Linked DNA regions of Oreochromis niloticus. The main gene of each other region encodes a partner of the protein of the gene in region 2 in a complex. Links are inferred from orthologs where the notes say so. Each region holds a gene or a part of one and is shown on either strand. Other genes may lie near its edges.

Evidence for each region.
Region 1: nup188 (region 2) and nup93 share a complex: the UniProt entries of both Homo sapiens proteins name them as parts of the nuclear pore complex. The link is inferred for Oreochromis niloticus from reciprocal best matches to the Homo sapiens genes NUP188 and NUP93.
Region 3: nup188 (region 2) and nup205 share a complex: the UniProt entries of both Homo sapiens proteins name them as parts of the nuclear pore complex. The link is inferred for Oreochromis niloticus from reciprocal best matches to the Homo sapiens genes NUP188 and NUP205.

The regions. Positions count from the first base shown.
Region 1 is NC_031972.2:63,343,176-63,350,179, forward strand, and holds the start of nup93 (nuclear pore complex protein Nup93), read right to left. Parts: upstream 3,045-7,004; 5' UTR 2,877-3,044; intron 2,040-2,876; 5' UTR 2,036-2,039; coding exon 1,857-2,035; intron 695-1,856; coding exon 577-694; intron 1-576. UniProt on the Homo sapiens protein: Plays a role in the nuclear pore complex (NPC) assembly and/or maintenance. May anchor nucleoporins, but not NUP153 and TPR, to the NPC. During renal development, regulates podocyte migration and proliferation through SMAD4 signaling.
Region 2 is NC_031972.2:16,372,794-16,380,424, forward strand, and holds the start of nup188 (nucleoporin NUP188 homolog), read left to right. Parts: upstream 1-4,584; 5' UTR 4,585-4,712; coding exon 4,713-4,738; intron 4,739-6,126; coding exon 6,127-6,181; intron 6,182-6,329; coding exon 6,330-6,403; intron 6,404-6,479; coding exon 6,480-6,564; intron 6,565-6,645; coding exon 6,646-6,726; intron 6,727-6,884; coding exon 6,885-6,929; intron 6,930-7,013; coding exon 7,014-7,106; intron 7,107-7,227; coding exon 7,228-7,347; intron 7,348-7,460; coding exon 7,461-7,631. Other genes in the region: dolk (dolichol kinase), read right to left, coding at 1,726-3,297. UniProt on the Homo sapiens protein: Component of the nuclear pore complex (NPC), a complex required for the trafficking across the nuclear envelope. Required for proper protein transport into the nucleus.
Region 3 is NC_031972.2:61,902,066-61,909,833, forward strand, and holds the start of nup205 (nuclear pore complex protein Nup205), read right to left. Parts: upstream 3,106-7,768; 5' UTR 2,910-3,105; coding exon 2,882-2,909; intron 2,363-2,881; coding exon 2,220-2,362; intron 2,056-2,219; coding exon 1,884-2,055; intron 1,714-1,883; coding exon 1,569-1,713; intron 1,271-1,568; coding exon 1,111-1,270; intron 913-1,110; coding exon 684-912; intron 590-683; coding exon 425-589; intron 321-424; coding exon 145-320; intron 1-144. Other genes in the region: agk (acylglycerol kinase, mitochondrial), read left to right, coding at 3,498-3,607, 3,691-3,730, 3,812-3,891, 3,981-4,056, 4,158-4,283, 4,404-4,498, 4,654-4,723. UniProt on the Homo sapiens protein: Plays a role in the nuclear pore complex (NPC) assembly and/or maintenance. May anchor NUP62 and other nucleoporins, but not NUP153 and TPR, to the NPC.

The DNA.
Region 1 (7,004 bases), about 47 Mb from region 2:
AAACTCAAAGTTAAAGAGAATAAACAGCACAATGTGAACTTGAAACCAATAAGATTTTCCATGAATGTCATTTTTCTTGACTGTCCACAAAAACAGAGCCTGTGGGTCACACAGCAAACCCAATTTTCCACTGGAATAATTAACTCGTTGGCTTTGTGTACTTATTTCTGTTATCTCTTGAATCTTTGTTCTGTTCAGCCTCCAGTTATAAATTTCAACATTTTCAGCCTTTAACTAACAAACTTCACACTTGCTCAGTTTTTATCAGGCTTATCTTGTCAGTGGGGACAAATGCAGACTTATTATCTACAGTTAATTACTTTCAGACCTTAGCCACAAAACAAATTTAATCCTCACTTCTAAATGCAGTTTCTCTGTGAGAAAGTGAAATATGCACACGCTTATTAAAAGACTAGGTACTAGTTTCTTACCATCTATCAATGGATTATTTCTTATTTCACTCCACAAAATACCTCTCAGTGCTCTCAGTAGTAAGCGAGTCTTCCTCTAGTGAACCAGTTCATTTAGGTTAAATAATACTGCATTAGCAGCTAGCTAGCAGCTAGTTTATGATACCTGTATGTCCGTGTCTTTGACCGGCTCCAGGGGCTCAAACGTGGTGGCAGCGCTGAGACTTTCTAGCCTCTGAGAAATGTGGAAGATGTCTAAACCTCTGGAACCAAGGAGGATGGACCTGAGGTGAAACAGAAAGGTGATGAAGGAGTGACTGATAAATAACTGTAGTTGCTCCACACGACCACTAGAGGACGCCGAACGCTTTACCACCGTTACAGAAACGATCTTTACACTGTACGCACTGATATGAACTATTACACAGCAGATCATGTATGTCATCACATACATCACAGAGAGAATTTCAATCTAATATCAATGCAGTTTTAAAATAAATAGACTAAATCCTTTAAATATCACTCAAGCTTATTGATTAAGGAATATATTCTTTAAATCTTTAAAACCAAACATGTAGTTTATAAATGAGTGCGTCTATCATAGAGGTTAATGGGAAACAAATGAAAAATGATTTTATACATTTTATTTACATGAGAATTTTGCAGTAAGATATACTACATCACACCTTTCAGATACACATGAGTCTGTTATTATGAATCCTATTATTATTATTAGGACTCTTACTACTATACATAAAAAGGAACTCTTCCCAGGCTCTTGGGGCTCTTTTTTCATGTTGATCTTTAAAAATGCCTTGTGTGACTGTTTACTATACAACTTTATACACATAGTTAACCATTCATTTGTTTTTTGCCCCCCAGTTGCTTGTGTATGCATTGGCACATGTATGTATATGTGGGAGTTTATATGGAATGGATGGAGATATAAACAAACAAACACGAGGATCGCTATTACAGTTATCGTAGATGACATTCTTATTATTATTTAATATTACTATTGCTATTTGCACTCCTCGTCCTTATATGACATGACCACGATCAGTATGTGGTTAATCACACTCCCAGTACCCTCACCCCCAATCTATACTTTTTATTTGAACTTGTCCTGTTTGTCTATGCTCTATGTTTCATGTCCTGTGACACTGGTAACTTATTATCTGTTATCAATTACCATTTTTGCCAGTAGCAGTAATATTATGATTAACAGTGGGACATTTTCTGCCTATCTGCACATGCTGAAGTTCTTATTTCATACTGTTCTTGGTTGTATCTTGTTATTTTATAGTTCAGCTTTATTTTGTTGTTTGCTGGTTTTACTCTGTGACTACTAAGTGTTTTTGTTTCCACTCTTACTGCACTGTGCAATAATAGAAACCACAAGAATTTCCCTCAGGAAAAATAATACAGTTCTCTTATATTTCTTACGCTTTTACGTCTGCAGCATCTTGGGAGGTGCGGGTCAGTGTGCGAGATCGAAGCCTCTCCCCCGCCTGCTGGATCTCCTGAAGGTTCCTTTCCACATGAGGAAGTTCAGACACTGCTTCGGTCTCAGCAGCCAGCTGCTCTGCCTGCTGCAAGAGCTCCCCAAATCCCTCTGTATCCATGCTGCTATAGAGAAACAAATGAAGATATTTACATGTAACATCATCAGAGGTGAGATGAATAGTGTACAGTGGTTTGGGGAGCTATAATTTTAGGGTGCTCACATCCTTTTTGGAAAAAAATGTATAATTGGCCTGGATAATTTTACATAAATATGCTGCTGTTATTTTAGATTCCTAATCAACATTGTACCTCACTGACTAAGGTTTTGTATGTATTTTTTGTTGTTCATTTTCAATTCTTAGAAGAAGGGACTGGGTTAAAATGTACTGCAATTCCTCAACTGCGTGGACGGAGATTTACACAAATTCAGAAGTAAACGTAAAGTGAGCACGTAAACGTCTAAGACGTAATATAGCTGAGAACTGCCACAACAACAACAACAACAACAACACGTTTAGGACTAGGGCTAGTCGATAACATACAAACTGTGAATAACATAAACACCCATGTACATAACGACATACAGCTGTGTGAGCTTTCGGAAAGTTGACAGCTGGAGCGCGCGCATGGAGCGCTGTGGTGTTAGCTTAGCTGCTATAAACTCGCTTTAGGAATAGCAACAAAAATGCAGTTTCAAATGAAATTTAATTCCGGCTGCTGTGAAGTGGCGTGATGTGAATCACGATAAAAACACGTTTGAATTCATTTTATTTTATTGCAGTGCTGCCCTTTTGGCTAAGCTTCGTTAGCATGCTAACATGTAGCTACAAGTCAGAATGAATTACACTGTGCAGCGTTAGCTAGCATGCTAAGCTGCTATTATTCTTACATATTCTTAGTGTTGCGTTAACTCAAAAAGTTCATTTTGCTAACGCGGCTGGAAGCAACCACACTTCATACCTGTTGTGTGAGGTGGGAGAAAATACGGTCCTGTTTATACTCCACGAGTGAATGTATTGACAGTTATTTTCTGTTACTCCGTTTCTTCAGCATGCAAGTACATTATTTGCCCCGACCGGCACTTCTGGAGTCGATCGTGATTGGACAGTCCTGCGTCCCTCCCGGAAGTTCTTCTTCTTCTCCAGTTTCAATAACGAACAAACTAATATTAACGAAGCATATCGTCACCTACTGTCATAATTGGGGTTTTTTAGGGCCCGAGCACTAAAGGTGCGAAGGCACTATTGTATCTGCTCTGTGTATTATCATTGTTATTATTATTAGGGCCCGAGCACTTCGAGTGCGAAGGCCCTATTGTATCTGCTCTGTTTCTTCTTCTTCTTCTTCTTCTTATTATTATTAGGGCCCGAGCACCGAGAGTGCGAAGGCCCTATTGTATCTGCTCCGTTTCTTATTATTATTATTATTATTATTATTATTCAGGCAAAACAAGGGCCTTTTTGAGGGCTTTAACATGCTCGAAAACTCTTGAAATTTTGCACACATGCCAGGTCTGGTGAAAAATTTTGTATTTTAATGGTTTTACATAGGAGCACTGGGAAATGGCTCTAGAGCGCCACCTATGCGCTGTTAAATGCAGCCTTACGACCACATCGTTTGGGCTACATCTATGAAATGTGGCACACATGTGTATCATGCCGAGACAAACAAAAAAGTCTGTGACTACATGTGACGCAAACCCAACAGGAAGTCCGCAATTTAGAAGTGAAGGTGACATTTTGGCTCTAATTTTGCCATTTCCATGCCTCGAACTTTTGCGAACTCCTCATTGGAATTTCATCGTACAAGCTTCATATTTGGTCAGTGTCAACTACACACCTGGGCCATGTTAAATTGCGGAGCTTTTGAGTTTTCGGGATACGGTGACGCCGTGGCGCCACGGCGAATTTCGATGACTCGCCATGAAAATCTTATTGCCTCTCGTTCTGTCATACATTGTCCGACCTTGACCAAAGTGGACACATATGATAAGGCTCCAACCCTGAACATATTTCAACTGCCATATTTGACATCAGGTACAGCGCCACCTAGTGGGAACAGGAAATGTCATGTTTTACACTTTGGGGTACAGTATTGTAATGGGTGACATCTGCAGCCTCAAATTTCTCCAGGAAAGCCTTAAGGAGTTGGTCTTGGGTTCCAGAGAAAACTGTGAGTTTTCGCTGAAGGGTGTGACCCCAGCAGCATGGCGAACATTGAGGTCTCGCCATGAAGAAACAAATTAGTGTAACTCAATGAAATCCAATCTGATCAGTACCAGATTTTACAGGGATGATGTCAGACCCGCCCTGAACAGATTGATATGCCCATTGTCAGGAATACGTAGAGCGCCACCTAGTGGCACCAGGAAATGTCATGTCTTTCATTTTGTTGTACTGATTTTCACAGGTTCATCGTGGCCACCTCAAAAGCGGTGAGTATCACCATCAGTCCTTCATGATGCTTCTGTGCGAAAATTGTGACTTTAAACTGAACGGCGCACCCTGGTGGCAACGCGGTTCACCATGAAAGACGAAGTGGCTTTTGAGGGGCTTGGAAATTTTAAAAAGTCTTGGAATTTGGCCCAAACCTCCAATGTGATGAGGGCTTTGTTGTTATGTGATCAGTTTCCTTGAATAATGCAAAATGGCTCCACAGCGCCCCCTACAAAATTTCAAAACATCAGCCCCTGCTCTGTGTTTTATTTATAAGTCTGAAACCTGGTAAGCTTATGGAGGATATCAAGATGTACAAACAAGTCTCTTGGAGCAATATCCCAAATCCAACAGGAAGTCAGCCATTTTAAAATTAAGGTGTAATTTTAGCCACTTTTTCGCCTCTTTTCAGGCCTCATACTTTGACGAACTCCTCCAAGGGATTTCATCAGATTAACCCGATCTCCTGTGTGTGGAATCTAAAGACCTTTGTGATGTTAAATTGCGAAGGTTTTTACGTTCAGGGAAACGGGGTGGCCATGGCGGCACTTGGAGTTTCAATCCCTTGCCAAAAAGCAGTAATCTGCTGTCACTCAAAAACACAATGTCCAATCTCTCCCAAAGTTCGCAGGCGTGATGAGACTCAAGGTCGGAAATGTTTGTTATCCCATTTGTCAGTAATGGTTAGAGCGCCACCTAGTGGGACGACTATAATAATGATTGAATGAGATGAATCGTTAGCTGGTGGTTCTAGGCATGAATTCCATCAATGTGACATCAGATCGGACGTGCTGGTTGTAGGTGTTGGGCGTGGCCCGACGTGCCGGGGTGCGAGGGCCCTCATAACGCTGCTTGCAGCTTTAATTATTATTATTTCGGCAAATGAATCGGCCTTTTGAGGGCCTAAACATGCTCAAAAACTCATGAAATTTTGCACACTCGTCAGGTCTGGTGAAAATTTACGTATTTTAATGTCTGTAGACATGTCCAGGGAAAATTGGCTCAGTAGCGCCACCTAGAAAAATGAGAAACGCGAGCCCCCGAGATGGGTATGACCTACATGTATAAAACTCGGAACACATATCTAACGTTCGGAGACGCACAAAAAAGTCTATTATGGCCATGTCCTAAACCCAACAGGAAGTCCGCCATTTGGAAGTGAAGGTGACATTTTGGCTCTAATTTTGCCATTTCCATGCCTCGAACTTTTGCGAACTCCTCATTGGAATTTCATCATACAAGCTTCATATTTGGTCAGTGTCAACTACACACCTGGGCCATGTTAAATTGCGGAGCTTTTGAGTTTTCGGGTTACTGTGAGGCCGTGGCGCCACGGCGAATTTCGATGACTCGCCATGAAAATCTTATTGCCTCTCGTTCTGTCATACATTGTCCGACCTTGACCAAAGTGGACACATATGATAAGGCTCCACCCCTGAACATATTTCAACTGCCATATTTGACATCAGGGACAGCGCCACCTAGTGGGAACAGGAAATGTCATGTTTTACACTTTGGGGTACAGTATTGTAATGGGTGACATCTGCAGCCTCAAATTTCTCCAGGAAAGCCTTAAGGAGTTGGTCTTGGGTTACAGAGAAAACTGTGAGTTTTCGCTGAAGGGTGTGACCCCAGCAGCATGGCGAACATTGAGGTCTCGCCATGAAGAAACAAATTAGTGTAACTCAATGAAATCCAATCTGATCAGTACCAGATTTTACAGGGATGATGTCAGACCCGCCCTGAACAGATTGATATGCCCATTGTCAGGAATACGTAGAGCGCCACCTAGTGGCACCAGGAAATGTCATGTCTTTCATTTTGTTGTACTGGTTTTCACAGGTTCATCGTGGCCACCTCAAAAGCGGTGAATATCACCATCAGTCCCTCTTATGCTTCAGTGAGAAAATTGTGACTATAAACTGAACGGCGCACCCTGGTGGCAATGCAGTTCACCATGAAAGATGAAGTGGCTTTTGAGGGGCTTGAAAAGTTTAAAAAGTCTTGAAATTTGGCGCACACCTCTAATGTGATGAGGGATTTCTTTTATATGTTCATTTCCTTGAACAGCGCAAAATGGCTCCACAGCGCCCCTACAAAATTTCAAAACAACAGCCCCTGCTCTGTGTTTTATGTATGAGTTTGAAACCTGGCAAGCTTATTGGAGATATCAAGATGTACAAAAAAGTCTCTTGGAGCAATATCCCAAATCCAACAGGAAGTCAGCCATTTTAAATTAATGTGTAAATTTGGCGACATTTTCCCCTCTTTTCAGGCCTCATACTTTGACGAACTCCTCCAAGGGATTTCATTAGATTACGCGATCTCCTGTGTGTGGAATCTAAAGACCTTTGTGATGTTAAATTGCGAAGCTTTTTACGTTCAGGGAAACGGGGTGGTCATGGCGGCACGTGGAGTTTCAATCCTCGCCAAAAAGCAGTAACCTGCTGTCGCTCAAAAACACAATGTCCAATCTCTCCAAAGGTCGCAGGCGTGATGAGACTCGAGCTCGGAAATGTTTGTTATGCCATTTGTCAGTAATGGTTAGAGCGCCACCTAGTGGGACGACTATAATAATGGTTGAATGAGATGAAATTTAGCTGGTGGTTAAATGCATGAATTCCATCAATGTGACATCAGATCGGAAGCGCTG
Region 2 (7,631 bases):
CTGGAAAAGTGTTTTAAATTGTGGCTGAAAAAAAAATTTAAATAAACATTTTTTTTGATCAAGTCTCCATGGAGATTTCACTGTGCAACTGACATTTCCACCCACCTTTATTAAGCATTTCCTCATCAGCATTGTCAACAGCTTTATTCTTGTGCAAGATCTTTTTAAATGATTTGTGCCCAAATAAGACAATGAATTCCTCCATTTACAGACAACAGCGAGCATCTCTGCTTTCAAGTATGTTCATTTTAAGACCTAACTTAAAATGAAAAAGACAAAGCTTTATGTACGTGTAATTATCAAGCGCAGCATTCAAACTTCTTGTGTTAGTGTCACAAATCAAAGTGAAAAAGCAAAAGGATAATCTTTGTGTTGTTAAAGTACAGTCGCTCACAAAGGTCCTACATCTCAATCCTCAAAAAACCAAACAAACAAACCAAAATCCCCCCAAAACAAAAAAAGCTTTGTTTGTTCTCAGATGTTCTGAAACATGCAATACTAAATTTTTCTTTCAAAATGTAAGAATGTTGGAAAAAGAAACACACCAGCAGGATCAGGCTAATAAACATTATCACAACATTAAAACAAACAAACAAACAAAAAAGAAACACTTCAGAACTTTTACAGATGAACTGAAACCAGCTCCATTTCCTTATCTACAAATGAAGAGATCAAACCCAATAAAAATTAGAGTATATTGCTATAAAGCATATAAAACAATAATTTAGAAGTAAATCTTGCTGTAAAAGTTGCCAAAACGTAAAGGCCTGTGTGCATGGGTGTGGCCCAAAAGCATATCTACAAAGCCCCAAAAAACAAAACACTAAAGGCTCAGTATTACAAGGAAATGTAGATATTGAAGGGGTGCAGGGTCCCATTAAACCACAAACTGCTAAGCAAAGTTGATTTATCTGACAAAAATATATGCGGTAGGATAACCGGCATACACGTTACAGTACTGCATTATCACATCAGTCTCATGCAGGAGCATAGTGTGTTTCTACCATATATAAGTATAAATCAGCCCTTTAAATAAGAGTTGAAATGGGCTGCCATGCTAGCGTGTACAGCTTCTACTATGGTAGGTTGTGTGTGATAGAAAATATACTTCTTAAGGCAAGTATTTTCAGAAGAAACTTCTTCATATTGCCATCAGGGAGGCAAAAATAATAGCCTAGACGTGAGAAAGTTGATTAAAAGACATATCAATAAGATAACTTTAAATTATGTTCTTCGAAAGGCAATACAAGGCATGTATCTGTTAATGAAACAAAAACGACAGGACATTTGTGTATTTCTTGCCGATTATAAAAACGTGTCCAGGATTTCTATTTAAGAAACACTTTTTTTCTCCTCCACACTCTGCTAAACTGAGTCTCCTGTTGCATAATTTAGGAGCTGTTGGTGTCAGTGGCAGAGAAAACATACGCCACCTCTGTCGCGAGGTTCAGACTTGATCTAAAATGTTCCATTGGTCATTGCAAAGGATACTGAAAATGATCTAAAGACAACAGACTGTCATGCCAACACTGTCGCATGTAAAGGTTTGTCGATACCCTGGTCGGTTAATTTGACTGCTTTCGATCGCCTTGTGCTAGTCAAAAATAACTACAGTTTGTGATCATGTCCACAGACTACGAAAGACAGCTTTTTTTGTCCCAAGTTCACCACCAGAAATGGCTGAGAAACAGGCAGTGGATCTGCTTGTTTGTATGATCGGTCCATTCAAAGTAACAGGAGGATGAAGAGGTAGAGTGGGAGCAGCAGGTTGTCTATTTGGGAGGTGTAGGCTTCCAACATGGCCACCAGAGTGATGGAGCCAACAATCCATGAGTAGGTGGTGTTCAGATTGATGCTGCTGTCAAAGATGAGAAACATGGCCACGGCGATGATCTGGGCGAACACAGATGTCGCGGTCCCCTCTAAGGTTTTCTTGGTGCCAGGCCAATGGATCTCCCCCATGGTACTGCCGAACACAGAGGCCACAGTGTCTCCAACTCCCACCGCGAGCACACCTGCGTAGGGCACCAGGCCACCCGCCCCTGGAAGTATCCCCTTAGGGGCACAGGGTCCAGGAAACAGCCAAATGGGCAAAGACATCCCCAGCAGCAGGTAAATGTGGGTGAGGATGAGAGGCCCAGAGTCCCGCTCGTCCAGGAACAGAGTGAGCAACTGCCTGAGCAGCTGACCGACAGGCCTGATTCGAAAGTAACGCACATACTCCAAGAACAAGAAAACCGCCAGGCAACCCACAGATGCCACGTGGAGCAGCTGCCTGTCGTAGATCAACCCTGGAATGTAGGTAGCCACTACAATCAGATGGAAATACTTCCTGACGATGGTCGACGCCTGGTGCTTCTTGGAACCCGACTGGCGCTGATAGTTCTGATGTACCACAACGCAACTGGCCACGACAGACAGAAACACCCAGTACGCCAGCAGGCAGAGTCTCCTGTCATTCAGCGTGATGAAGTCCAACAACCACATGAGGGGGTGGCGACCGATGAACAAGGACAGCCAGGGCATCAAGATCCCCAGACCCAGAACGGCTGTCATCATGTGAAAGAAGAGTGATGACCCCCAGCTCTCAGACTCCATGAAACAAAAGAGCAGGGCGAAGAAAACGCCCAGCAGCAACGAGCCCACCACTAACACCGGGAGGAAATAGTTCACCGGGTCACCTTTGACCTCCGCCAGGTTCAGGGAGCGCTTGATGAGTTGGTTCACGATGAAGCTGATCCCACCGACAATGAGGAGTGCCTCTCCGGGTGTGAAGCAGCGCGGCAGCAGATAAAGCACAATCAGGCTGAGATAGACAAAGATCAGCAGCACCTCCAAGACCTCTATGACCTCAGACACAGTCAGGGTCTGCTTTGTGGTGTAGAGAATTGCGCTGCCGGCCATTCCTGCAATCACACAAGTGTTGGTGGGAACAGGTCTTGTGATGCCCAGTGCAATCAGGGAGAGGAAAAGGGCTAGCATCATGCCTGTGATGGTGATCACCATGGAGAAGCGCTCAAAGTAGACATTCCCTGAGGCAGAGCACTTTTCTCTCAGTGCCAGGCCCAACAAAGGCATTACCATAGAGGCCGGAACAATGCCGCTGTTCGCTGAGGGGCGAAACTGGAACACAGCACCCCCAGACCTGAGCAGACGGTCCCATTTATGCTGCACGTAGAAAGCCTGGATCACCAGGGCTATGCTGCACCAGGAGTGCTGGTTCCAGACCGCCATGTGGACACATAGTACCACTGCCAAAACTACAGTGGACTCCACGTGCACCGGGTTGATTTGCATGGCTGGAGGGTGGGCGCTCACAGAGAGGGAGGAGGGTTGATCTGAACAGATGGTGTGCAGCAATGAAGGCCTTCTTCTGTCACTTCCTCTCTCTTACAGGCTTCATCATTTGGAAGGTAACTTTCCCTTGCTATGGATGTCCGAAGAAAAAGGGGAAAAAAGTTAGCATTTAAGAGAAAAAAATACAGATCACAACAAACATAATAATGTGTACAAATTACAGATTCAAATGCTACTGTACTGAATTCTGAGTCTTTTCTTGCTTATTCTAACTCTGAACCTTGGTCATGCTTTATCTGCTTCCTGCCATGAACTATGACCACACTGAACATTCACCCCATCAGTGAGAAATTCACACAGCTCAGACAGCACGAGTAAAAGGTCACACATGAAACACATGTTCTTTCCACATCAGCTGCAACCTTTTGTTCCTGTGGGGGTCGGAGTTTGAGCTGTCTGTGTAGTGTGAGTTCTGGGTCAGCGAGGCTATGCTTAACAAATGGTTATGAAAGCTGAAGGATACATTAGGGAAAGAAAATCAAAACAATAAAACTCCAGTTTATTTCATTCATTCATACAGCCCAATGAGGCCAGATAATTCTCCCTACACCGAAGAACGCGTCTGTCTGGCAGCCGAGGATGCTTTAACCTCTGACGGCATCAAGCTAACGGCAGACTAACAAGCTCACTGTACAGAGCTAGCAAAGCGCCACACAGCAGTAACTACTGGCAGCACTGACGCACAATACAGGCTGACAAAGACAAGCGTACATACCATACAAGCGCAGCGTTGTTTGAGCGGACGTGTGCAGTGAATCGCTATGAATCGCTGCCGTCCTTTCTGGACAGATTTGTTTCCTTTGTCAGCTGTCGGTCCTCTCACACCCAGTAGGAGGGGGCCATCTTTGACAGCCGGGTCACGTGGTACACTAAAAAAAGTATCTCTTAAAGGCGTTGTTTTAAATTTACTTTTTAACCTTAAATTTGTGAAATAATTATATTACCATAAAGCACATACTTTAAATAAATACATAAAAATATTTATGTATTTATTTTGTTCAAATTCAGACTTCTCAGGCTACTTTATACATGTAATACGTGAATAATTATTTGTTAATAATAATAATTACCCGTAAGTCCAGAGGATGTCTTTGATACATGATATACTGAATTATGAAGTTAGGGGGAGACACAGAAGTTTTGCCAAAATATGGTATAAATATTTTCGAAAAGGTATGGAGACGATAGGGATGTGTTTATTTTACTCCAGAGGATGGCGCTAAAGTTGAACTCAGGACACCCGCTGCTTCACGAAGAAGAACAAGGCTCCCACCCGTTGCCTCCGACGGTAACGAAGGCGCTTTCGACGTCGCTGACGAGCCAGCACAACAACCAATCACAGAGCAGACGCGAAGATGGCGGAGTCGGAGATGAGCGTCAGGTAGGCACATAGCAACTTACTTTAGCTAAAGTGTGCGTTGTTTGAGTTATTTTTGGAGCGTTTACCAGTGGGTATCGTTTCTACACAGCGTTTCTGTTTACTAAATCAGACCAGCAGTGATGTGTATATTTCACTCTTTGCGTTTGAGCAGTTAGCACCACGCTCACTTAGCTTAGCAAGTACTAGCCGCTAAAGATTTGAATGGCTTTTCAGTAGCGCGGTGTGCCAGCCGCATGTCAACAACAGCATACCGCCACTGCAAACTGTTTACATTAGATATTGTATTAACGGCGCTGGTTTATTTACAGACACCGTACTTACAGCGAGATAAATTGCCTCTCCGTTACATTCAGTAACCGCTGGGCTTGCTTAGTTGGTGTTAATTGAGAAGCTAACTCTGCTGTTTTGATACGGACAGGAAAACAGCTGAGTTAGGTTTAAAATCTTTAAACTTGACCTCCAAAAGAAACTAAACAGAGTTTGACTTGACAACAAATCGCAAAAGCCTATCCATCTCTTTAAGTACAAATAAACTAATTTAGTTTTAGGGAACGCTGATGAAGGGCTATCATTGAACAGGAGTATTTAAAACATATCCATGAATATCATAATAACAAGACAACAGACTCATATTGAGGACCACAACAAATTTTTATGTGTGCAAACATGTATTGAGCTTTAAAGTACCGGTAACATCTCCAGTCTGGTCAAAAAGTATGCTGACATGGACAGAATTTTTATGTTTTTTTGTACCTAACCACAGTAGATGTAAAATAAATAACTAAAATGTCATCAAACTGCACACTTTGAGTTTTAATTTTGCATAAGGTTTACCAAAAAAGTTGCATTAACTGTGTAGGAATTACAGAGATTGCTTTAGTCTGTCCATTTTCACACACTCTAAACTAACATGATTGGAAATATAAAGATAATTGTTATTTTTAATGCTTCTATGCAAATCTTTCTGGACCCTATGGACATACTGAGTTTCCTATCCTTTTTTTTTTCTTTCCACAAAAAGTGAGTCATGTATGAAAATGGGGGAAGTGTTTATAGTTTTGGGAAGTAGGTCTGTCCTTTTGTTTGATGGCATCAGGGCAAGTTTGTTTTGCTTTGTTCAGTTTCTTTCAAACATGTAACCAATTCATACAAAGTAATTTTTTTTAAATTGAACGAAAATAAAATAAAACAGGGTACAATATTGCTACACATTTGCTGATTTAGTTTACATATTTGAAAAAGGGTGGACAGAAGTGCACACTTATTAAATCCCACACCTTCATCCCTCTTTAGTTAATAGGCTCAGTTCTAATGTAGCAAACTGTAAAAAATTTTAATGCATTAATCCCAATCGTTGCTTTTCTAAAATAAACCAATTTGTTTCCCAGGAGCTGTAGGGAATTATGGACCATATTGCTGGGGAGGTCTGCGTTGAGAGAGCCGGTATGTCCTTGTTGCAGAAAAGTGTCCAGCGCATAACAAGTGTGCTGGACACTTTACTGCTCCAAAAAATAGCTAGTTGTAATTTTTTCATTTTTAAAGGTAATAAAACAATCACAGTGATTTTTCTGTCTGTTATTATTGGTCACAGGCTCAGATAGAGGCAGAGCTCGACAGACACTGGGATAGACTCCATCAAGGACTTAGTTACTACAAGCCGCCCAGGTATAGTTACAGTTATTTTCACATCAAATGTACTGTTAATAACCAAAAAGGTAACTGCAAGCATCACCTGTTACAGCTCATCCTCTGCTGAGAAAGTAAAAGAGAACAAAAATGTTGCACAGCCCCTGAAGGACTTTGGTCTAAGGATCAGTAAATTATTGGTGAGACTTCAAAATATCAGTCAAGAATGATTTCCAGTCTTTATTTTGTAGTGTGTATTTAATGATGATTTCATGTTACAGAGTCTTGATGAACAGCAGAGTGTTCAGCTTTTGCAATGCTACCTACAGGAGGACTACAGAGGAACCCGTGACTCATTAAAGGTATCTGTCCTGACAGATATTTTCATTGTGGAATCTGTCTGAACTTGTAGTTTTCAGTGAAACTGAGATTTGCCGTTGCATTACAGGAACAAAAATTGTAAGACCGTAAAAAGATGTTGTGAAAGATGTTTAGATGTTAAATTAATCTTTTGTTGTAGGTTGTACTCAAGGATGAGCGGCAAAGCCAGGCACTACTGCTTAAGGTCAGTACATGGATCTTCTGCTTTTCTTGACTCAGCACATGTTGAGTTCAGTAAGTATTACAGCCTCTGTGTTTGTTTTTGCAGATAGCAGACTATTACTATGAGGAACGCATGTGTTTGCTCAGATGTGTCCTTCTCCTACTCACATACTTTCAGGATGAGCGACATCCCTACAGGGTGAGAAGCTCCAGTCTTAGCATTACTCACTAAATTGTGGAACACAGCTTTTAAAAAACTAATTGTGCTTGGGATTGTTGTTGCTTTAGCAATGTAACCTTAGTTATGTTATGTTGTTTAGGCTGAGTACAGTAACTGTGTAAATAAGCTGGAGAAGGACCTGGTGAGCAAATACCAGTTGCAGTTTGAGAGTCTCTTCAAGGCAGAGGCACCAACATGGGAAACTCACGGAAACCTCATGGTGATGACACAAATTTGGTTTGCGTTGGCTTATTATTCTTTCTATTGTGAGGTAGCTGTGGGAGATATTTTCTTGTTAAGGATGCAAAATAATGTAAATATTATTTTTTTCAGACGGAGAGGCAGGTGTCAAGATGGTTCCTGCAGTGTCTGAGAGAACAGTCTTTGCTGCTCGAGATCATCTTTCTGTATTATGCTTACTTTGAGATGAACCCATCTGACCTTCTGAACTTCACCAAGATGTTCAAAGAGCAAGGCTTCGGTTTGCGGCAGACTAACAGACAC
Region 3 (7,768 bases), about 46 Mb from region 2:
TTACATATTTTAATTAAGACGCAAAAATAAATAAATAAATGAAACGTGATAATTACAGAATGTTGAACCTGATAAGTTAAAAACCATATTATAGTTTTACATGTCAGTCTTAAGTTAAAAGCACGCACCTGCAGCATCTCTTACCTTCATTGGCATAAGAGCCAGAAAGTCTGTGATGAGTGAATGGACGCGGCGGATGTAAAACTCTTCCTGGGAAAAACTCTCACATCCCAGCATGCCCTCTTTCATAAACAAGAAGACATCGCCCAGGAGAGCCTGATCAGCCAGAGCCTCATCTGCCTCAGTGAACTCAACCAGTGCTGCACAAAAATGCACATACAATAACATGAAATGGCTGTTATCTCAGAAAACGTAAGAATCAGAAGGTGATTTTTAATGGAGACTCAAGGAATGCAGTACTTACCAGAGCCCTGTGGCAGCTGGGAAAGGACTCTCAGCGACAGAGCCCACGCCAGTCGACACACGGCCTGCAGCCCCGGAAGCTTCCATGGTTGGCTGTCCATCAGGCGACTGTGCACTGCAGACACATACTGCCTTTCTGTCAGCAATGGAAGTGCCTGGAGCAAATCTGGAGGAAAACACATGCAGGCAGTTGATTTTTGGAATCAGTGATTTCAACAGGAAAAAAAGAAAGAAAACCAAAACCATCAACACGAACTTACCATCTCTATCTTCAGTCCCCTGCTCTATAAAACTGACATCCAAGCAGTAGAGCAGTGCCATAACCAGAGCCAGGCTAACACTGTCCAGTGAGCCATCAGCCTGAGCTGTAACTGTCTCCAGGTGGCCAATGAGTGCCAGAGTGTCATCTTTTGACAGGGGTGATTGGCAGGTCCATGAAAACAGGCTGTCTGCAAGCGCCTGTCGGCATTCCTTGATGAGGTCTGCAACCTGGTGACAGATGCAGAAACTGCATGTAATCCCCATTTTCCATAATCCACTCTGCATTCCTACACTCTGTGTTTCTATTTGAGCTGTGTTGAGAAAATTAGTGGCATTGCATTGTTCCTTTAACACTGGAAAAACAAAACAAAGCAATTTGAAGATTTATATCTTTGGTTAAAATTTATACAAAAGATTACTTCACACCTCCTTCCTGTGCTTTTCGTTGCCCAATCCGCGTTCTTTCTGCAGTCGTTCAAACTCACGCGTCACGCTTATCTCTGACACCAAAGTTAGGATGCGTTTGGTCAGACCTTGGCTCATGAGCTCATCTGTAAATCGTGTTGTCAGAGCCACCAGCTCTCCACTGAAGGAGAAAACAAATAACATTGTCAAACATAAGATTCAAATAGAATAGAACAGAATAGAATAATCCTTTAATTGTCCCACAAGGGGAAATTTGGATGTAACAGCAGCAAGAAAGACACATATACAAACAAAAAGTACACAGGACACAGAACAGAAACATACACAATTTTTACACATTCACATCAAGGGCAATGGTTACCAAAAAAATACAAGCAGGACAAAAACACCTTCCTCATACGGGACTTTAACAGCATTTATCAATGTTTCATTGTACTACTTTTAGACACCGTTATTACCTAAGATCCAGGGTGAAGGTCTTTCCCTGTCGTGACTGAATGAGCGTGCGCAGAGAGTTGGCCATACAAAGTTTTCCATCCCAGTAAAGTAACACGGCCACTAGGCCTCGTGTCAGTCCTGGAAAATAGGGCTGCTGCTGTTCACCTGGAGAGAGATGATTACATAAAAGAAACAGAGCTCAATCTCAGTGTTTGATCAGGACAGTCCATACACTACAACCTGCTACACAATTAACTACAGTGACACTTTACCTATAAGATGAAATGGAAATAATTATGCTGGATAAAGTTGGGGATTTTTTTCCTTCATGTTACCTGCCAAGAGAAGCTCCAAAGCTGCCAACTCTCCAATGTCAAAGAGATCACTGAGGATGAAAGCCTCTGTCAGAAGCTGTTCTGGAAGGAGCCGTGACCCCTGCTGACCTTGGATGGCGATGCCTTCTGTGCTGGCTTTACGCACTTTCTCTCTTTGCTCTGCACTTTTTGGCTAAAAATGAAGAGAAGACAAGACGCTGTTAATATCAGAGTCTCGGAGGACAGACTGTAACTACAAGCTACACATTGGGGAAAAAAAACAAAACAAAAAACCACCCGTGACCTGCATGTGTGAGAAATGACAGTGTTTTAAATTACCCATTCATGCCATCTTACCGGGTTCTTAAAAAGTGACAGAAAGTGAGGTTTGTGTTTCTTCAGCTGTAGGTCTAGGAGGTGAACACTCTCGGGCTGTCTCCTTAACACAGCTCCGTCCACTGTCTCCCAGAGCTCTTTCAGCGGCCCCCACAGACTGGCTCCTGAGGTTGTAAATAAGCTTTCAGATGTCTTGGGCCGTCACACAAGTATGCAAACAACTAATTTCTAGTCATTTCGAGTTAATTTGTTATAACCATGCTTGTTAACACCACTGCGGCATTTTGCACAGCACTATAAAAGATTCCAGAAGTATAGTACAGACACTTCTTTGCCTCCCCCGAGTTGTTAGTTTCAATTTTATTTCAAGCCGGTCGGCTGATCTATCAGACAAGTCTTGTCATCCCTCCCTGTTATTTCAGGTTTAATGTGGGAATTAGTTCGGTGTAAATGAGTAAAACTAATTTGTTATTTAACCTCAACTAACTTAACGTCTATTTGCTATGGGTAAGGCTAAGCTATGTTAGCCTGACAGACCCAACAACATGTGGTCAAAACATATCATAATCGACAAATCTGCGGCCAAGAAGCGCATATATCTGCGCTTCTATGCATAACAGAGGTTGAGATTTGATGCAATAACTAAACAAAATCCAATTATTTAATAAAATATACACCCTTACCCGAATTTACCGCCATCTGCGCCGCCATGATACGCTCACTAAGTTGGACAGAAGCTTCTGGGTTTGTGCCGGTGTGAAATTTAAAACAATCAATTCTGTAACGCTTTGGTCACTTTTAGTGAACAACGAATCTATCAGTCCTAATTTAATGTCCTCGCTGGTTAGTTGAGTAGATTAAATATCTTAGAAGATTTCATGGTTATGTGGGCTCTTTTCAGGCGGGGTCCTCCGAATGATGGCCCCGTCCCCATTAGCAACTATGGGAATTGTAGTTCTTGTAAGCTAAAGCGTTTAAGGCATTTAATTAAATCTACAATCTGTAAACTTAAAAAAAAATAATTAAAAAATAAAATATTTTTAGGAGACTTATATAAAGCAATACTTGAAAAAAATATGCAACTAGAAATAGTTCCGAAAAAAAACAAAACACAAGCGGAACCATGAGTTTGAGGCTCCTGTTTTGCTTCCAACTGTTTTGACGGTACACCAAAATGTCCATGCTAGTCTTATATCTGTGAGTCTGTGACCGCTGTGATGAAAATGTGTCGTTTATGACGTTTAATGATCTGTACCACTGCGCTAAAATTGAGGTTTTGAAAACAGTTTAATCACAGTCATGGCTCGAGTCGTGAAAGTGTTTCGGACTTTGCGAAATCATTGGAAGAAAAGCACATTTGCTGTGTGTGTCTTGTCCTACGGTGGATACTGGCTGTATGGAAAACACTGGTGGGTATTTCATGCTATGAATGAGACAGAGTGCACAAATTCCCGTTTTCGTGTCCTAAATGTTATGTATAATATTTCATCAGTGACAGCGTCCTGCGCAGAGAGGCGTGTCTACTAGCCAGGGTAAGGTGTCACAAAATTATTACCCCAAAACACAAGTTTCCTCTTTGTGACAGTTATCCTTAACATCATCATTTGTGTTAGGAATATGGACAGCAGCAGATAGCACCACAGGAGCGAATCAGGAAAGCAACTGTGATTTTGAACCCTGCAGCTTGCAACGGGTAAGACGCATAATCTCCAGACATCTCTCTGAGAGTCTTGTTTAATTCTTCTCAGAATATTTACAGCTTCCTGTGTTAATTTTCTCCAGGAAAGCCAACAACCTATTTGAAAAGAATGCTGCTCCTATTTTACACCTGGCTGGTGTGCAGATTACAGTAGTCAAGGTAATGTTTTCTATTTCAATTGGATATTTATCAGGTAATAGTGTCTCTGAGAGTGTCACAGAGCATGACATCACATCTAGATATTACATATCCCTCTACAGACAGACTATGAAGGCCAGGCAAAAAAACTGATCGAGTTAATGGAAGAAACAGACATGCTGATCGTGGCTGGAGGAGATGGCACGTTGCAGGAAGTGATCACAGGTTTACTGAGAAGGCCAGACCAAGTAGGTGTAATGTAATATAGTAGCTGTGTTAATCTGACATCATCTGTCTGTAATAACTGTATTCGGTCTGATACTTTAAGTAATTAAATCTTTCTTTTGGTGGATGTTTTCTGACCACAGGACGTCTTCAGTAAGACACCAATTGGATTCATTCCACTAGGCTCCCATAATTCCCTCAGTCCAAGTCTTCATCTCCTCAGTGACAACAAGGTCAAGTAAGTAATGTTTCAGCATCACACACAAAAAGATCATTACATATTCCCACGACAAACTTCACTGGGTTGTTATCATGTCACTCAGCAAATATATAGTACAGAATTCCTGATTTCTTCCATTAACTAGAATGTTTTTAATGTCATTCATTTTCCAGGGACATCACATCAGCAACACTGTCAATACTGAAGGGAGAAACTGTACCGCTGGATGTGCTCCAAATCAAAGTGAGAAACTGCTTATATATTGCTCTACACAGCCTTAAAGTTACAAACTAAATCTGTACTTATTTTAAAAAATCTTGCTGTTTTTAACAGCCAATATTAAAACAAGTGAGTAAGCCGGTAAACTGGATTCATAAAGCACATTTTAAAAATTACAAAGTTATTTAATATTTATTTTAAAAGCCATTAGGTAAAAAATATAGATATTTTTAAAAACATATATGAATATTTATTATAATGAAAGAAAATTACAAGAAAAAAAATGAGTTTTATCGGTTTTTGTGAGTATTTTTTTTTTTTTTTAATTTTCCAATGTGACATTATTTTTCCAGTTTAAAAATATATACATTCATTTATTTTGATGATTTTCATTTATTCTCCTTTTGTACCACCCAAACTTATTTATTCATTGACTTTCTTTTCATATTTTGAATACATGTTGGGCTAAACGTAAACATAAACTACTATTTTTAATTTTCTTCTTAATATTTAATATTCTCTTTTGCCATGTTGATGACTTTAAATTCAGCAGAAGAAATAAGCAAATTTAAATTCAGGTCTCCATGCAAATTATTTCATGTCCAAGGTGTGTAGTAATTAAAAAAAAAAGTTCTTCCCAGAGGCTTCAGGATCCTTGGCACTTGGGCTGTGCCATATCATATCATCTGCGATAATATACATTTTCCATGATATAAAAGTGTCATATTGCAGTATCTTTCCCATCTCAGTGACACCTGTTTATGTTTCCTAGCACACACAACTGAAAGACAAGCAAGACATATCTGACAGCAAGCGCTGAATTTCAGTTTTCAATTACAGGGAGTGCAGAATTATTAGGCAAATGAGTATTTTGTCCACATCATCCTCTTCATGCATGTTGTCTTACTCCAAGCTGTATAGGCTCAAAAGCCTACTACCAATTAAGCATATTAGGTGATGTGCATCTCTGTAATGAGAAGGGGTGTGGTCTAATGACATCAACACCCTATATCAGGTGTGCATAATTATTAGGCAACTTCCTTTCCTTTGGCAAAATGGGTCAAACGAAGGACTTGACAGGCTCAGAAAAGTCAAAAATAGTGAGATATCTTGCAGAGGGATGCAGCAGTCTTAAATTGCAAAGCTTCTGAAGCGTGATCATCGAACAATCAAGAGTTTCATTCAAAATAGTCAACAGGGTCGCAAGAAGCGTGTGGAAAAACCAAGGCGCAAAATAACTGCCCATGAACTGAGAAAAGTCAAGCGTGCAGCTGCCAAGATGCCACTTGCCACCAGTTTGGCCATATTTCAGAGCTGCAACATCACTGGAGTGCCCAAAAGCACAAGGTGTGCAATACTCAGAGACATGGCCAAGGTAAGAAAGGCTGAAAGATGACCACCACTGAACAAGACACACAAGCTGAAACGTCAAGACTGGGCCAAGAAATATCTCAAGACTGATTTTTCTAAGGTTTTATGGACTGATGAAATGAGAGTGAGTCTTGATGGGCCAGATGGATGGGCCCGTGGCTGGATTGGTAAAGGGCAGAGAGCTCCAGTCCGACTCAGACGCCAGCAAGGTGGAGGTGGAGTACTGGTTTGGGCTGGTATCATCAAAGATGAGCTTGTGGGGCCTTTTCGGGTTGAGGATGGAGTCAAGCTCAACTCCCAGTCCTACTGCCAGTTTCTGGAAGACACCTTCTTCAAGCAGTGGTACAGGAAGAAGTCTGCATCCTTCAAGAAAAACATGATTTTCATGCAGGACAATGCTCCATCACACGCGTCCAAGTACTCCACAGCGTGGCTGGCAAGAAAGGGTATAAAAGAAGAAAAACTAATGACATGGCCTCCTTGTTCACCTGATCTGAACCCCATTGAGAACCTGTGGTCCATCATCAAATGTGAGATTTACAAGGAGGGAAAACAGTACACCTCTCTGAACAGTGTCTGGGTGGCTGTGGTTGCTGCTGCACGCAATGTTGATGGTGAACAGATCAAAACACTGACAGAATCCATGGATGGCAGGCTTTTGAGTGTCCTTGCAAAGAAAGGTGGCTATATTGGTCGCTGATTTGTTTTTGTTTTGTTTTTGAATGTCAGAAATGTATATTTGTGAATGTGGAGATGTTATATTGGTTTCACTGGTAAATTGAAATGGGTATATATTTGTTTTTTGTTAAGTTGCCTAATAATTATGCACAGTAATAGTCACCTGCACACACAGATATCCCCCTAAAATAGCTAAAACTAAAAACTACTTCCAAAAACATTCAGCTTTGATATTAATGAGTTTTTTGGGTTCATTGAGAACATGGTTGTTGTTCAATAATAAAATTATTCCTCAAAAATACAACTTGCCTAATAATTCTGCACTCCCTGTAGGGTTCAGTAAATAGGGAGATACTTCAACAACCTCCAAAAAAGCACAGATCAAAACAAACAAAGAAACTCTGTGGAGTATAACCAGGTCAAGAAGGAGGAGAGACTAGCAGCTGGTGATGTGCTACCCAAAAGTAAACAGATGACGCAACTGCATACCGCTGCCATGTGATAGGAAGAGCAAACAGTGGATGGAAATTACTGGCGTGGTTACATGGTGGAAAAACATGACTTTAAGCAGCTCGACCCACGACACCAAATCCCAGGTAGAAAATATGTTTCAGTTTTGTTATGTGACAACATTGTGCAGCTCCTAATGCAGAGAATCATATACCCATCTCTTTTCCTGCAAATGGTCAATAGTGGCCACCCCAATAAAGTAAATAAAGTATGCAATGGCAAGTTAGTGACTGTTTCTGTAATTAAAAGTAGAGATGTGCGGTACTCTGATTCTAGACTCAGTCAAACTGAGAGTGTTTGACTCTTAGAATATAAAGTAACAAATACATATAATATAAAACAAACAAAATACAATAAAAATCAGTAAATACATAAATAAATTGACAACTAGCTAAGTGAGGAAGTAAATACAAAGCTGAATGCATAATTTTTAAAAAAGTACTTTACATATACATTTTGTTACCCTTGATATTTAATGATGAAACTATTCTCAGTGCTATAAAAGTGGGA